2 linked regions of the Callithrix jacchus genome follow. Each later gene encodes a partner of the first gene's protein in a complex. Links are inferred from orthologs where the notes say so. Each region holds a gene or a part of one and is shown in the gene's direction. Other genes may lie near its edges.

Region 1 (8,143 bases):
TGCGGTGAGCCGAGATTGCGCCATTGCACTCCAGCCTGGGTAACAAGAGCGAAACTCCGTCTCAAAAAAAAAAAAAAAAAAAAAGAGTACAAGTTATATGGTTCTGTTTCTATGGCGATCAAGAACTATCGAAGTTAATCTATGGTGCTAGAAGTCAGAATAATGGTTACTTCCAGGGGAGCAGCTATTTATTGGGAGGGAACATACAAAAGAGAACAAAAGGGAACTTTCTGGGTTGATAAATCTATAACTTGATCCTGGTGGTGGTAACACAGAAATGTAGGCAAAAAAATTATTAGATATACACCTAATATTTTTTCATTTTACTGTATGTAAATTATACTTCAGTTTTTAAAAGTTAAAAGAAAGAGCTTTAGGAAAGTTTTTTTTCCAGGATTTTTTTTTGGGGGGGATGGAGTTTTGGGGTTGTTGCCCAGGCTGGAGTGCAATGGTGAGATCTTGGCTCACCACAACCTCCACCTCCCAGGTTCAAGTGATTCTCTTGCCTCAGCCTCCTGAGTAGCTGGGATTACAGGCATGTGGCACCATGCCCAGATAATTTTGTATTTTTAGTACAGACAGGGTTTGGTCTGGCTGTTGGTCAGGCTGGTCTCAAACTCCCAACCTCAGGTGACCTGCCTGCCTCAGCCTCCCAAAGTGCTGGGATTACAGGCATGAGCCACTGTGCCTGGCTTTTCCAGGATATTTAAAATCTCTTTGGTGTTAATTCCATAGGCTCAAAGGTCTAAGGTGCCCCATTGTTGGGTTGCCTGTGGTTCTCTTTGCTCCTCTCTGCCCTCTTGGGCCCAATACCTAGTATGGTGCTTAGAAGTCACAAACATAACAAATACTTATTGAGCACCTACTCTGTGCCAGGTACTGTGCTACGTGCTCAGTAAACAGTAGTAAACAAAATGGATGAGGTTTCCTTCCATAGTCCAGTGGCAAAGACAGGTAATAATGACTTGGTACCTTCTATTAAGGACAAGTACATGGTGTTAAGAGATCCTGTCTGGGAAGGTATCCTTGGAGTAGCCCTGTTTGCACTGGATTCTGAAGGCTGATGAGTTATTTAAGTGTGGAGAGCATTGGAGGCAGGGGGATCAGCATGTGCAAGGGTGCTTAGAAGGGAGGGAGAACAATGTGTAAGAAATGTCACTGTAGTTCCAACCCAGAGAAAGGGGAAGAGGGCCCGGGGATAAATCTAGAGAGGTGAGGGGCACAACATTTATTTAGCCTTTATCTTAAGAACAATGAAGTGCCATCAGATTTTTTTTTTTTTTTTTTTTTTGAGACAGGGTTTCACTCTATTGCCCAGGCTAGAGCACAGTGATACCATCTCAGCTTACTGCAAGCTCAACCTCCTGGGCTCAAGCAATCTTCCCACCTCAACCTCCTGAGTAGCTGGGGCCACAGGTGTGCACCACCATGCCCACTAATTTTTGTTTTTGTCTTTTTTTTTTTTTTTTTTTTTGAGACTTGGTCTCACTTTGCCACCCAGGCAGGAGAGCAGTGGTGTGATCTCGGCTCACTGAAGCCTCCACCTCCCGGCTGAAGTGATTCTGGCTGCATGCCTCAGCCTCCCAAATAGTTGGGACTACAGGTGTGTGCCACCATGCCCAGCTAATTTTTGTACTTTTAGTTGAGATGGGGTTTCGCCATGTTGCCCAGGCTAGTCTCGAACTTCTGAGCTGAGGTGATCCACCCACCTTGGCCTCCCAAAGTGTTGGGATTACAGGTGTGAGCCACTGAGTCCAGCCGTTTTTCTATTTTTTGTTGAGACAGGATTTTGACATGTTGCCCAGTGTGGTCTCAAACTCCCGGGCTCAAGCAATCCACTTGCCTTAGCCTCCCAAAGTGCTGGGATTATAGGCGTGAGCCACTGCACCTGGCCATCATCAGATACTTTTAAGTAGGGTAGTGACATAATCAGATTTCTGATCATTAGAAACATTATTGCGACAGCAGCGTGGAGAATAGATTAGAGGGCAGTCAGGGTGATGTGAAAAGATGGTGGGTATCTACTACACCAGTCCAGGCACACAGTATGTACTCAATAAATATTTATGGAATGAAAGGGTTCCTGACTCCCTTTCCTTAATGGGACCAGTAGGACTGACCTGTTTAATTAGTTTACAATCCTCCTGTTCATCCTCCATCTCCTGTGATGCTCAGAACAGCCCCCTAACTCCTATTTTGCAGATGAAGAAGCTGAAGTTCAGAGAGGGAAGGGTAGCTATCAAGAGCAAAAGCCAAAATAGAGCTACCATACAATTCAGCAATCCTACTCTTAGGTATACACCAGAAAAAAAGGAAATCAGTATACGGAAGCGATATCTGCACTCTCATGTTTACTGCAGCCCTGTTCGCAATAGCCAAGATTTGGAAGCAACCTAAGTGTCCATCAACAGATGAATAGGTAAATAAAATGTACATGTGCACAATAGAATACTATTCCGCCATTAAAAAAGAATGAGATCATGCCATTTACAACAATATGGATGTAACTGGAGGTCCTTGTTACATGAAAGAAGCCAGACACAGAGAGACAAACTTCCCATGTGATCACTTATTTATGGGAGCAAAAAATTCAAACAATTGAACTCATGGAGATACAGAGTAGAAGGAGGGTTACCAGAGGCTGGGAAGGTTAGTGGGAGGTGGCTGGGAAATGGGAATGATTAATGGTTACAAAAAATAAGATGAATAAGACATAGTATTTGCCGGCACAAGAAGGTGATGATAGTAAAAAAACAATTTACCTGCACATTTTAAAATAACTAGCATATAACTGGGTTGTAACACCAAAGATAAATGCTGAGGTGCGGCCAGGCACGGTGGCTCATGCCTGTAATCCTAGCACTCTGGGAGGCCGAGGTGGGTGGATAACCTGAGGTCGAGAGTTCAAGACCAGCCTGACCAACATGGTGAAACACCATCTTTTTTAAAAAAAATGCTGAGGTGCTAGATACCCCATTTACCCCATTTACCATGATGTGATTATTATGCATTGCATGCCTGTATCAAAATCTTATATACCCCATAAATATATACACCTACTGCGTACTCACAAAAATTAAAAAAATACATCAGTGTAGTGTGGGAAAAAGAACAAAAAAATTTAAAAAAAGAGTGAAAGCCAGATATGAATGCAGGCCTGAATGACAGACATCAAGTCCAGTGCTGAGGAGGCCTTTCTACATTTGGGAAGAGGGGAGGGGCCACACTCACTTGTTCGATCAAGAATTCTATTAACTGAGCATTTCGCTTGCTAGGGAGGTAATGATGGGAAAAAGAAGAGAGGGATTTGGAGGCAACTAATAATGAAAGCTTCTATCTATATCCCCATTAAGCTTATTATTAGACAGTATGTGTCAGGCACTGCGATAAGTGCTTTCCATGCCCCCCGCCATTTCTTCTTCAACAAGCACTATGAATTTCTCCATATTTCAATAGGTAAACTGAGGCTTGGAGTTGCCACGTCCAAGGGTACTTAGCCAGAGCGCTCGCAAAACGTTGTGCCGTGTGTGCTTCCGAAGTGGGACTCACTGGCGGGAGAACAGCCCTGGGAAGTCGACAGAGACCCACGATACACCCGCACTAAGCACTCAGCACCGAAGCGAGCTGGCGCGCGCTCCACCTCGCGCTCCCGGGAACGTCTGGTCACATGGGCGATGCCCCGCCCCTCGAGTCCGCCCCGCCCCTTCTCGCGCTCCCTCCCTCTCTCCCTCCCTCCCCCTCCCTCCCCGGCCCGGTCCGGCCCATCCCCCTCCCCGCCGGCTCCGTGAGGCCCTGCCGGGTCGGGCTGCGGGCGGCCGGGCGCGGGTGGCCGGACAGACGGGCGCACGCGAGGACTGACGGACGAACGCACGGAGGGCGGCGGGCACGCACGGCCCGGGCCGGCGCTCCAAGGCCCGCCCGGGAGGGCCGGGGCCGCGCTCAGGTGAGGCAACGGCGGCGCGGGCCCGTAAGGGGTGGGCCCGCCGGGCGTCCGCGGTCCGGGTCGGGTTGGCTTTGCTGGGAGGAGGCGCCGCCCGGGCCCGGCGCGGGAAAATGGCGCCCGGCGACCGTGCTGCACGGTCCGAGTGTGGGCCCGGCCCGGAGCCGCCCCGCCCGCCGCGCTGGTGTCCCAGTCGCCATGTTGGGGAGCGGGCCCTAGGCCTGCGGGCGGGGGCGCTGGAGGGAGCGGTGGCCCGGCGGGGTGGGGAGGGTGCTGGGCGCGGGGGCCGGTGCACTGAGGGAGTGCAGGGCTGGCTGGGGTCTGCACGGGGTGGCGCTTCAGGCCTGGGGAACTGGCGGGAGCTGGTCGTGGGGTCGTGGGGTCGTAGTCAGGGTCGCCGAGAAGGAACACCGGGACCGAAAGGAACCGGGATTGGGGTCCAAGGGCTGAAAGGATGGCAGGACGTGGAACTGGGTTAGGCCTTAGGCGGTGTATAGAGAGCCCTAGTGCTGGTAGGATCTGGGGATTGGGGTGGAGGCTTGGGGTCAGGCTCAGGCTGTCAGGGCTGGAACAGTTCTTTGCGGGAAAGGACGGAGGCGATTGATGAGAAATGAGGGCCCTTTGGATCCAGACGCTGGTATCAGATTGGGCAGTCCTTGGGGTAGTGGAACTGAATTGCAAAGCTGTGTAACTCACAAGGCTCTGAAGACTTCTGTCCCAAGGATCCTCCACCCCCTATTGGGGGAAGCAACAGGAAAAAGGTGTTTGATGAGGAGAGAACAGGGGGACTGAGGTTTGGGTGCAAGCTGGCCAGCAAAAGAGGTACAGAGAGTAGAACTGGTTGGCAAGAAAGGAGAAAACCTACATCAACTTTGGGAGTTGTGTGTGTCTTTAAAAGGAGGAACCCGCCTGTTTGGGGGCGGTGACCCAAGGTGTCTTCCCTGGAATGGGACAGCCCACAGCTTAAGAGCAGGGTCACCTGGAGAGGTCATCAGAAAGGCGTTATTGAAGCCAGTAAAATGGTGAAGAGTGAATGTATAAAAACTACAAAGACCTGAGAGATCAAGTAAAGATTTCAACTCAGGTAGTGATTTTAGCTGAAACATAGAAAGGTAAAGTTGACTTCTCAAGATCTTATAAGTTAGTGGCAGAGGGGCTACTGGAAGTGGTTTAAACACATTTCCTTAAAGGAATTTGCTGGTTGGGAGAAAGGTGTTAAGAAATGAAGCGTAACATTCTTGTGATGAAACTAGAAGCAAACAAACAAAAACAACAAGAAATGAAGCGTAACAGTATATACCAGAGAACAATTAAATTTGTTTTGTTCCTGTAATGAGTTTGGCAATGCAAAGGCCGAAGGGAATACAGTTACTTGGTATTTCCTGGCTCGTCTCTAATTGTGCAAAGAAGTTATCTTTGATACTTTCTAACTTTCTAGAGTTTTTAGAGATGCTCCGGCCAGCCACAGTGGCGCATGCCTGTAATCCCAGCCCTTTGGGAGGCCAAGGTGGGAGGATTCCTTGAGCCCAGGAGTTGGCAGACCCCATCTCTACAAAAAAGGCCAAAAAATTAGCCATCTGATGTGGCTTGTATCTGTAGTCCCAGCTACTCAGGAGGCTGAGGTGGGAGGATCGCTTGAGCCTGGGAGGTCAAGGCTGCAATGAGCCATGCTGTGATCATGCCATGACATTCCAGCCTGGGCGACAGAGCAAGATACTGTCTTAAAAAAAGAGATGCCTTCTCTTCTAGGTGTTTATCATAAAGGAACACAAAATCCTAAAAAAGAAAAGTGAACAATGGTAGAGACCCAGAGTCTATATTGTGTTCATCGAAGTTGGATCCTGTGAGAGAAGAATTCAAAGTTTGCATGGACTATGGGTCTGAAGGAAATATGCAAATCAGTCATGAAAAATAGGTCCAGGGCCCCATATAATCAAAGAGAATTAATGAACAAAAGGGTTATATATAAAATAAGATCGTCAATATCATATGTATATACAGTAACACAATTCATTTGTTCTGGGTTTGTTTTTTTTTTTCTTTTTGGTAGAGATGGGGTTTTACCGTGTTACCCAGGCTGGTCTTGAACTCCTGAGCTCAAGTGATCTGCCCATCTCGGCCTCCCAAAGTGCTGGGATTAACAGGCGTGAGCCACCATGGTGTGAGCCTTTTCTGGGTTTTTCTAATGCTGGAAGACCTGACTTTATCTGTGCCATGGACCCCTTTCAGAATAATATTTTTAATTGTATAAAATAAAATACATTGGATTATAAGGAACACCAATTATATTGAAATACAATTACTACACTATAAAAATCTAATATGCATATACTTGTTTATCAGCACATTAAGAAATCATATTTAGTGATGGATCCGATAATTATAATTTCAAAGATATGATGCGCTTAAAGGGTACTTTAAGATTATATGCAACAACTGTAGTATAATATAAAGATATTTGAGGGCAGGGCACGGTTGCTCACATCTATAATCCCAGCACTTTGGGAGGCTGAGGTGGGTGGATCATAAGGCCAAGAGATCAAGACCATCCTGGCCAACATGGTGAAACCCCGTCTCTACTAAAAATACAAAAATTAGCTGGGTGTGGAGGTGTGTGCCTGTAGTCCCAGCTACTCGGGAGGCTGAGGCAGGAGAATTGCTTGAACCTGGGAAGTGGAGGTTGCAGTGAGCTGAAATTGTGCCACTGCACTCCAGCCTGGTGCATGGTGACAGAGCAAGACTCTGTTTCAAAAAAATAAAGATATTTGAGATTTCTATTGTTACAGAGTCACAGATACTCCTAATACTAGAATGGTATGTTACCTACAGTCATATTTGAATAGAATGGTAATTTTCAGTTAGAGGTTAGTAAAAGAAATTTTGTTTTTTCTATCCAAGTTCACAAACCTCACTGAAGTCCTATTTATAGATTCCGGTCTGTGAACCCCCAGGTTAAGAAACCCAACTCCTACTACCAGACATGTCTTCCATTCAACAAACATTTACTGTGCCTCAAGGCATCTACTGCGTATCAAGCATTATGCTGGGCTCCAGTAGATTCAGAAGTCTTTACGGCAGTCATTTCACTTTGGGTATGCAGCCCTATGAGTGAAGTAGACAGGTGAAAATCATAGCTCAGGTTGGCCGATGCCAAAGAAGAGTCATTAAATGCTATAAGGACACAGATGGGTGTGTCTCTGCTCAAAGTATCAGGCAAGGTGTTGTGAAGGGGTGACATCTGAGATGTGTCCTGAAAGATACAGGAGTTTGCCAGTGAATTGGAGAGAAGGGCTTTTCAGGTAAAGACACGTTTTCAGGGAATGCATTAATTGAATGTGGCTGAAGCATAGGATGTGTGTGAAAGCATGGTCAGAGATGAGACTAGGAAGCCCATGTTAGGAGCCTGGTTGTGAAGGACCTTGCTAAGGAGTTTGGACTGAATCCTCAGCTGAGAGAGGCATTCAAGATCTTCAAAAGGGGGAGTATATAGTGGAGTTTTAATTTCTAGGAGATACATGGATGATCTTTGGAAGGAGGGTAGACTGAAGACCAGGCAAGTACAGAGGATCTGAACTAAGGCAGAGGCTGTGGGCATTGAATGGAGTTAGAATTTTCAGGTGTTGATGATTGACGTTGTGAGTGGTAAGAGGGGTGACTTTTTTAGATTTCTGGTTTAGATTTTCTGGGTTGATGGCTGTCAAAGAGGTTAAATGAAAGGAAAATGAGGGGAGAATTCTCATTGATAATAAGGGTGAAAGGGTTTTTTTGGTAGAGTAAGAGTTTTGGAAACCACTGCAAAGCTGTCAAGTGTGGTGTAGTTTTTGGTTAAGGAAATCAGAGGTAAGTGTCAGCAGACATAAAAGGCAGGGGAAAACATGGGAAGTACCCTACCTATAGTGTAGAAAAAGCACAACTGTCCATGTCAGGCAGGGGTCAGCAAACTGTTTCATAGGTCAAATCTGGCCCACCATCTGTTTTTTTAAATAACATTTTTATTGGAACACAGCCACACTCGTTTACTAATATTGTCCATATCTGCTTTTGTGGTACCAATGGCAAAGTTGAGTAGTTGTGGCAGAGATGTGTTATGTCGGTTCACAAAGCTGAAAATACTCTTTACAAAAACATTTGCCAACCCCGATCTATGTGTCTTTTTTTTTTTCTTTTGGTTGATCTGTGTGTCTGAATGTTGGGTATCAACCT
Region 2 (7,582 bases), on another chromosome or scaffold:
CAGTGTTGCTGAAAAATTGGCTATCCTATTTAATTATTTTGTCAGTAAAATGAAATGAAAATATTCTTCTTAAAGAAGTTTCTCTGTGACACCAGAGGCAAATTTCAGGTAAAAATTATACATCTTAGTTCTATTTATCATATTTTTATTCCATTAAATGCCCTAAGTGATCTTCCTCTGGTCTTAAAACTTCTATTGGCTGTTAGTATACTGCTCCCTCAGATTGCTTTAACAGTAGCAGTATATTTTTCTAATTTTTCAAATTAAGTTGATGAAAAATGAAGTTTACCTCAAAGTCATTAGTGGAGACTTAGAATGTTCCCCACCTCCCCCCTTTTAAAAAAAATGATAATAAATGACAAGGTTCTGCCCTGTCACCCAGGCTGGAGTGCAGTGGCACTATCCTAGCTCACTGCATCCTCAAACTCCTGGGCTCCAGAGATCCTCCCACCTCAGCCTGCTATGTGGCTGGACTACAGGCAAACTTACCACCACACCTAGCTTGTCTGCCACCTTTCCTTTCCTCTTTCCCCTTCCCTCTTTATCCTTTTCTTTTTCTTTGTGGAGACGGAGTCTCATTGTGTTGCCCAGCCTGGTCTCAAACTCCTGGCCGCAAGTGATCCTTCTGCTTTGGCCTTCCAAAGTGCTAGAATTACAGACATGAGCCACTACACCAAGCCTGTCTAGTCTTTTAAAAATGTGTGGATGGATAAATGGGGAAACTTTAGGTATTTTTTAAATATTTTCATAGATTTAATAGTTCAGTCCTTAATTTTGAGGATAGCTGTTTTAACAATAGTATTTGAATTACCGAAGATTATATGTTAATGATAATTTTCAAGCTTTAATGAACTCACTTTCTATCTTAATCTTTTAACAGATCACAGACTGATGAGAATTGGTTTATGTTGATCCGTGGTCATTGGCTTTTAAATATTAATGATCTATCTGTAATGTCTATCCATGTCTGCTTTTAGAGATGAAAATATGTATATTGAAACTTAAAATTTGTAATTCTTCATCTGAAGTAGTTTATTCTACACTAATATTGGAGTCATTTTAGATAGTAAGGAAGGAAAATTTCTCTAAAGATGTTAAATACTGATTAGCTAAATTACAGGTACTTTTTGATAACTTTTTAGGACTTGGGTCAAATTATCTTATATAGTTAGATATTTACTTTTAGTGGCTTTTCTTTTTAATGTTTTAAATCTATATATGCCCTCTGAGTTTGCTTAATGTTAGATTTAAACTATTTTTTCTTTCATTTTAGGGGCTTCACAAAGGTCAGAGTTCACATTCGGCAGGTCCTAATGGTGAACGACCTCTCTCTTCCACTGGGCCTTCCCAGCATCTCCAGGCAGCTGGCTCTGGTATTCAGAATCAGAATGGACATCCCACCCTGCCTAGCAATTCAGTAACACAGGGGGCTGCTCTCAATCACCTCTCCTCTCACACTGCTACCTCAGGTGGACAACAAGGCATTACCTTAACCAAAGAGAGCAAGCCTTCAGGAAACATGTTGACGGTGCCTGAAACAAGCAGGCACGCTGGAGAGACACCTAACAGCACTGCCAGTGTCGAGGGACTTCCTAATCATGTCCACCAGATGACGGCAGATGCTGTTTGCAGTCCTAGCCATGGAGATTCTAAGTCACCAGGTTTACTAAGTTCAGACAATCCTCAGCTCTCTGCCTTGTTGATGGGAAAAGCCAATAACAATGTGGGTACTGGAACCTGTGACAAAGTCAATAACATCCACCCAGCTGTTCATACAAAGACTGATAACTCTGTTGCCTCTTCACCATCTTCAGCCATTTCCACAGCAACACCTTCTCCAAAATCCACTGAGCAGACAACCACAAACAGTGTTACCAGCCTTAACAGCCCTCACAGTGGGCTACACACAATTAATGGAGAAGGGATGGAAGAATCTCAGAGCCCCATGAAAACAGATCTACTTCTAGTTAACCACAAACCTAGTCCTCAGATCATACCATCAGTGTCTGTGTCCATATATCCCAGCTCAGCAGAAGTTCTGAAGGCATGCAGGTTAGTGTGCAAAAGTTCGTCAAGTGAAAATGCTTGACTTACTGGCATGATAAGAATGCTGAAACATAATTTGGATCTTTTAAGCTATGGAAAGTAAGCAAAACATGCTGTAGTCATTCATCTAAAGTAAGAGTTTGACAGAAGCCTTGATATGCTTAGATGTTGAGGTCAAATTGATGTATCAGATTTGAGAAGTAATCCTGTAAATTGCTTTTTTTTTTTTTTAACCCCCTTTTTTTTTTAAATTGTACTTTAGGTTCTGGGGTACATGTGCAGATCATGCAGGATTGTTGCATAGGTACACACATGGCAATGTGGTTTGCTGCCTTCATGCCCCCGTCACCTACATATGGCATTTCTCCCCATGTTATCCCTCCCTGACCTCCCCCACATCTCGCTGTCCCTCCCTTGGCCCTACCCCCAACAGACCCCCCAGTGTGTGATGCTCCCCTCCCTGTGTCCATGTGTTCTCATTGTTCATCACCTGCCTATGAGTGAGAACATGTGGTGTTTGATTTTTTTTTGTTTTTGTGTCAGTTTGCTGAGAATTAGGTTTCCAGATTCATCCATGTCCCTACAGAGGACACAAACTCATCGTTTTTTATGGCTGCATAGTATTCCATGGTGTATATGTGCCACATTTTCCTTGTCTAGTCTATCATCAGTGGGCATTTGGGTTGGTTCCAGGTCTTTGCTATTGTAAACAGTGCTACTATGAACATATGTGTGCATGTGTCTTTATAATAGAATGATTTGTAATCCTTTGGATATATACCCAGTAATGGGATTGCTGGATCAAATGGAATTTGTATTTCTAGGTCCCTGAGGAAGCGCCACACTGTCTTCCACAATGGTTGAACTAGTTTACATTCCCACCAACAGTGTAAAAGTGTTCCTATTTCTCCACATCCTCTCCAGCATCTGTTGTCTCCAGATTTTTTTAATGATTGCTATTCTAACTGGCGTGAAGTGGTATCTCAATGTGGTTTTAATTTGCGTTTCTCTAATACTCAGTGATGATGAGCATTTTTTCATATGTTTGTTGGCCTCAAATGTCTTCTTTTGAAAAATATCTGTTCATATCCTCCTCCCACTTTTGGATGGGTTTGTTTTTTTCTTGTAAATCTGTTTTATTTCTTTGTAGATTCTGTATATTAGCCCTTTGTCAGATAGGTGGATTGCAAAAATTTTTTCCTATTCTGTTGGTTGCCAGTTCACTCTAATGATTGTTCCTTTTGCTGTACAGAAGCTCTGGAGGTTAATTAGGTCCTATTTGTCTATTTTGGCTTTCATTGCCAATGCTTCTGGTATTTTAGTCATGAAGTCCTTGCCTATGTCCTGAATGGTTTTGTCTAGGTTTTTTTTTTTTTTTTTTTTTTTTGAGACGGAGTTTCGCTCTTGTTACCCAGGCTGGAGTGCAATGGCGTGATCCGGCTCACCGCAACCTCCGCCTCCTGGGTTCAGGCAATTCTCCTGCCTCAGCCTCCTGAGTAGCTGGGATTACAGGCACGTGCCACCATGCCCAGCTAATTTTTTGTATTTTTAGTAGAGATGGGGTTTCACCATGTTGACCAGCATGGTCTCGATCTCTCGTGATCCACCCACCTTGGCCTCCCAAAGTGCTGGGATTACAGTCTTGAGCCACCGCGCCCGGCCTGTCTAGGTTTTCTTCTAGGGTTTTTATGGTGTTAGGTATTATGTTTAAATCTTTAATCCATCTGAAGTTAATTTTAGTGTAAGGTGTCAGGAAGGGGTCCAGTTTCAGCTTTCTGCACTGCTAGTCAGTTTTCCTAACACCATTTATTAAACAGGGAATCCTTTCCCCATTGCTTGTTTTTGTCAGGTTTGTCAAAGATCGGATGGTTGTAGATGTGTGGTGTTGCCTCCAAGGTCTCTATTCTGTTCCATTGGTTTATATATCTGTTTTGGTACCAGTACCATGCTGTTTTGATTACTGTAGCTTTGTAGTATAGTTTGAAATCAGGTAGCATGATGCCTCCACCTTTGTTCTTTTTGCTTAGAATTGTCTTGGCTATGTGGGCTCTCTTTTGGTTCCATATGAAGTTTAAGGTGGTTTTATCCAGTTCTTTGATGAAGGTCATTGGTAGCTTTATGGGGATAGCATTGAATCTAGAAAATACTTTGAGCAGTATGGCCATTTTCACGATATTGATTCTTCCTAATCATGAGCATGGAATGTTTTTCCATCTGTTTGTGTCCTCTCTCATTTTGTTGAGCAGTGGTTTGTAGTTCTCGAAGAGGTCCTTTGCATCCCTTGTTAGTTGTATTTCTAGGTATTTTATTCTCTTTGTAGCAATTGTGAATGGGATTTCACTCATGATTTGGCTCTCTGTTAGTCTGTTATTGTATATAGAAATGCTTGTGATTTTTGCACATTGATTTTGTATCCTGAGACTTTGCTGAAGTTGCTTATCAGTTTAAGGAGATTTTGGGCTGAGATGATGGGGTCTTCTGAATACACAATCATGTCTTCTGCAGATAGAGACAATTTGACTTCCTCTTTTCCTAATTGAATACCCTTTATTTTTTTGCTTGCCTAATTGCTCTGCCTAGAACTTCCAATACTATATTGAATAGGAATGGTGACAGAGGGTATCCTTGTCTACTGCCGGATTTCAAAGAGAATGCTTCCAGTTTTTCCCCATTCAGTATGATATTGGCTGTAGGGTTGTTGTAAATAGCTTTTATTATTTTGAGATACAGTCCATCAATACCTAGTTTATTGAGAGTTTTTAGCATAAAGGGCTGTTGAATTTTGTCAAGGGCCTTCTCTGCATCTGTTTAGATAATCATGTGGTTTTTGTCTTTGGTTCTGTTTATGTGGTGAATTATGTTTATAGGCTTGTGTATGTTGAACCAGTCTTGCATCCCTGGGATGAAGCCTACTTGATCGTGATGGATAAGTTTTTTTATGTGCTGTTGTATTTGGTTTGCCAGTATTTTATTGAAGATTTTTGCATCTATGTTCATCATAGATATTGGCCTGAAGTTTTCTTTTCTTGCTGAGTCTCCGCCGGGTTTTGGTATCAGGATGATTTTGGCTTCATAAAATGATTTGGGAAGTATTCCCTCTTTTTGTACTGTTTGGAATAGTTTCAGAAGGAATGGTACCAGCTCGTCTTTGTACGTCTGGTAGAATTCAGCTGTGAACCCATCTAGACCTGGACTTTTTTTGGTTGGTAGGCTATTAATTGCTGCCTCAACTTCAGCCCTTGTTACTGGTCTGTTCAAGGTTTCAACTTCTTCCTGGTTTAGGCTTGGGAGGGTGCAAGTGTCTAGGAATTTATTAGTTTCTTCCGGGTTTACTGGTTTATGTGCATAGAGTTGTTTGTAGTAATCTCTGATTGTCATTTGTATTTCTGTGGAGTCAGTGGTGATATCCCCTTTATCTATTTTATTGCATCTATTTGATTCTTCTCCTTTTCCTTTTCTTTATTAATCTGGCTAGTGGTCTATTTTGTTGATCTTTTCAAAAAACCAGCTCCTGGATTTATTGACTTTTTGAAGGATTTTTTGTGTCTCTATCTCCTTCAGTTCTGCTCTGATCTTAGTTGTACTTGTCTTCTGCTAGCTTTTGAGTTTTTTTGATCTTGCTCCTCGAGCTCTTTCAGTTTTGGTGATAGGGTGTCTATTTTAGATCTTTCCTCGCTTCTCTGGTGGGCATTTATTGCTATAAATTTATAGACGCTGCTTTAAATGTGTCCCAGAGATTCTGGTGTGTTGTGTCTTTGTTCTTTATTGTTCTTTATTTCTTCCTTCGTTTCATTGTTTATCCAGTTGACATTCAGAAGCCAGTTGTTCAGGTTCTATGAAGTTGTGTAGTTCTGAGTTAGTTCCTTAATTCTGAGTTCTAATTTGATTGCACTGTGGTCTGAGAGACTGTTTGTTATGATTTCCATTCTTTTGCATTTGCTGAAGAGTGATTTACTTCCAATTATGTGGTCAATTTTAGAGTAGGTACTATGCGGTGCTGAGAAGATTGTATATTCTGTGGATTTGGGGTGGAGAGTTCTGTAGATGTCTGTCCACTTGCTCCAGATCTGAGTTCAAGTTCTGGATATCCTTGTTAATTTTGTCTCGTTAATCTGTCTAATATTGACAGTGGAGTGTTAAAGTCTCCCACTATTATTGTGTGGGAGTCTAAGTCTCTTTGTAGGTCATTAAGAACTTGCTCTATGTACCTGGGTGCTCCTGTATTGGGTGCATATATATTTAGGATCATTAGTTCTTCTTGATGCATTGATCATTTTACCATTATGTAGTGCCCTTCTTTGTCTCTTTTGATCTTTGTTGGTTTAAAGTCCATTTTATCAGAGACTAGGATTGGAACTCCTGCTTTTTGTTGCTCTCATTTGTTTGATAAATCTTCCTCCATCCCTTTATTTTTAGCTCAAGTGTGCCCTTGCACGTGAGATGGGTTTCCTGAATACAGCATACTGATGGGTTTTGGCTTTTTATCTAATTTGCCAGTCTGTATCTTTTGATTGGGGCATTTAGTCTGTTTACATTTAAGGTTAATATTGTTATGTGTGAATTTGATCCTGCTGTTTTGATGCTAGCTGGATGTTTTGCCTCTGAGTTGACACATTTTCTTCATTGCATTGATTGTCTTTACCATTTGGTACGTTTTTTGGATGGCTGGTACTGGTTGTTCCTTTCCTTGTTTAGTGCTTCTTTCAGGAGCTCTTGTAAGGCAGGCCTGGTGGTGACAAAATCTCTCAGCAATTGCTTGTCCATAAAGGATTTTCTTTCTCCTTTGCTTATGAAGCTTAGTTTGGCTGGATATGAAATTCTAGGTTGAAAGTTCTTTCCTTTAAGGATGTTGAATACTGGCCCCCACTCTCTTCTGGCTTGTAGGGTTTCTGCAGAGAGATCTACTGTGAGTCTGATTGGCTTCCCTTTGCGGGTAACCTGACCTTTCTCTCTGGCTGCCCTTAGCATTTTTTCCTTCATTTCAACCCTGGTGAATCTGATGATTATGTGCCTTGGGGTTGCTTTTCTTGAGGAATATCTTTGTGGTGTTCTCTGTATTTCCTGGAATTGAATGTTGGCCTGCCTTGCTAGGTTGGGGAAGTTCTCCTGGATAATATCCTGAAGAGTGTTTTCCAGCTTGGATTCATTCTGTCCGTCACATTCAGGTACACCTATCAAACGTAGATTAGGTCTTTACACATAATCCCATATTTCTTAGAGGCTTTGTTCATTTCTTTTCACTCTTTTTTCTCTTTTCTTGCCTTCTCATTTTATTTCATTGAGTTGATCTTCAACCTCTGATATCCTTTCTTCTGCTTGGTCAGTTTGGCTATTGAAACTTCTGTATGCTTTGCGAAGTTCTCGTGCTGTGTTTTTTAGGTCCATCAAGTCATTTATATTCTTCTCTAAGTTGTTTATTCTAGTTAACATCTCATCTAACCTTTTTTCTAGGTTCTTAGTTTCTTTGCATTGGGTTAGCCCATGTTCTTTTAGTGCTGAGAAGTTCGTTATTACCCACCTTCTGAAGCCTGTTTCT

What was found. The genes of interacting proteins can lie anywhere in the genome.
Region 2: NCOA6 (region 1) and KDM6A share a complex: the UniProt entries of both Homo sapiens proteins name them as parts of the MLL2/3 complex. The link is inferred for Callithrix jacchus from reciprocal best matches to the Homo sapiens genes NCOA6 and KDM6A.

Annotation. Positions count from the first base shown.
Region 1 is NC_133506.1:4,477,668-4,485,810, forward strand, and holds the start of NCOA6 (nuclear receptor coactivator 6), read left to right. Parts: upstream 1-3,748; 5' UTR 3,749-3,943; intron 3,944-8,143. UniProt on the Homo sapiens protein: Nuclear receptor coactivator that directly binds nuclear receptors and stimulates the transcriptional activities in a hormone-dependent fashion. Coactivates expression in an agonist- and AF2-dependent manner.
Region 2 is NC_133524.1:45,985,493-45,993,074, forward strand, and holds part of KDM6A (lysine-specific demethylase 6A), read left to right. Parts: intron 1-1,273; coding exon 1,274-2,052; intron 2,053-7,582. UniProt on the Homo sapiens protein: Histone demethylase that specifically demethylates 'Lys-27' of histone H3, thereby playing a central role in histone code. Demethylates trimethylated and dimethylated but not monomethylated H3 'Lys-27'.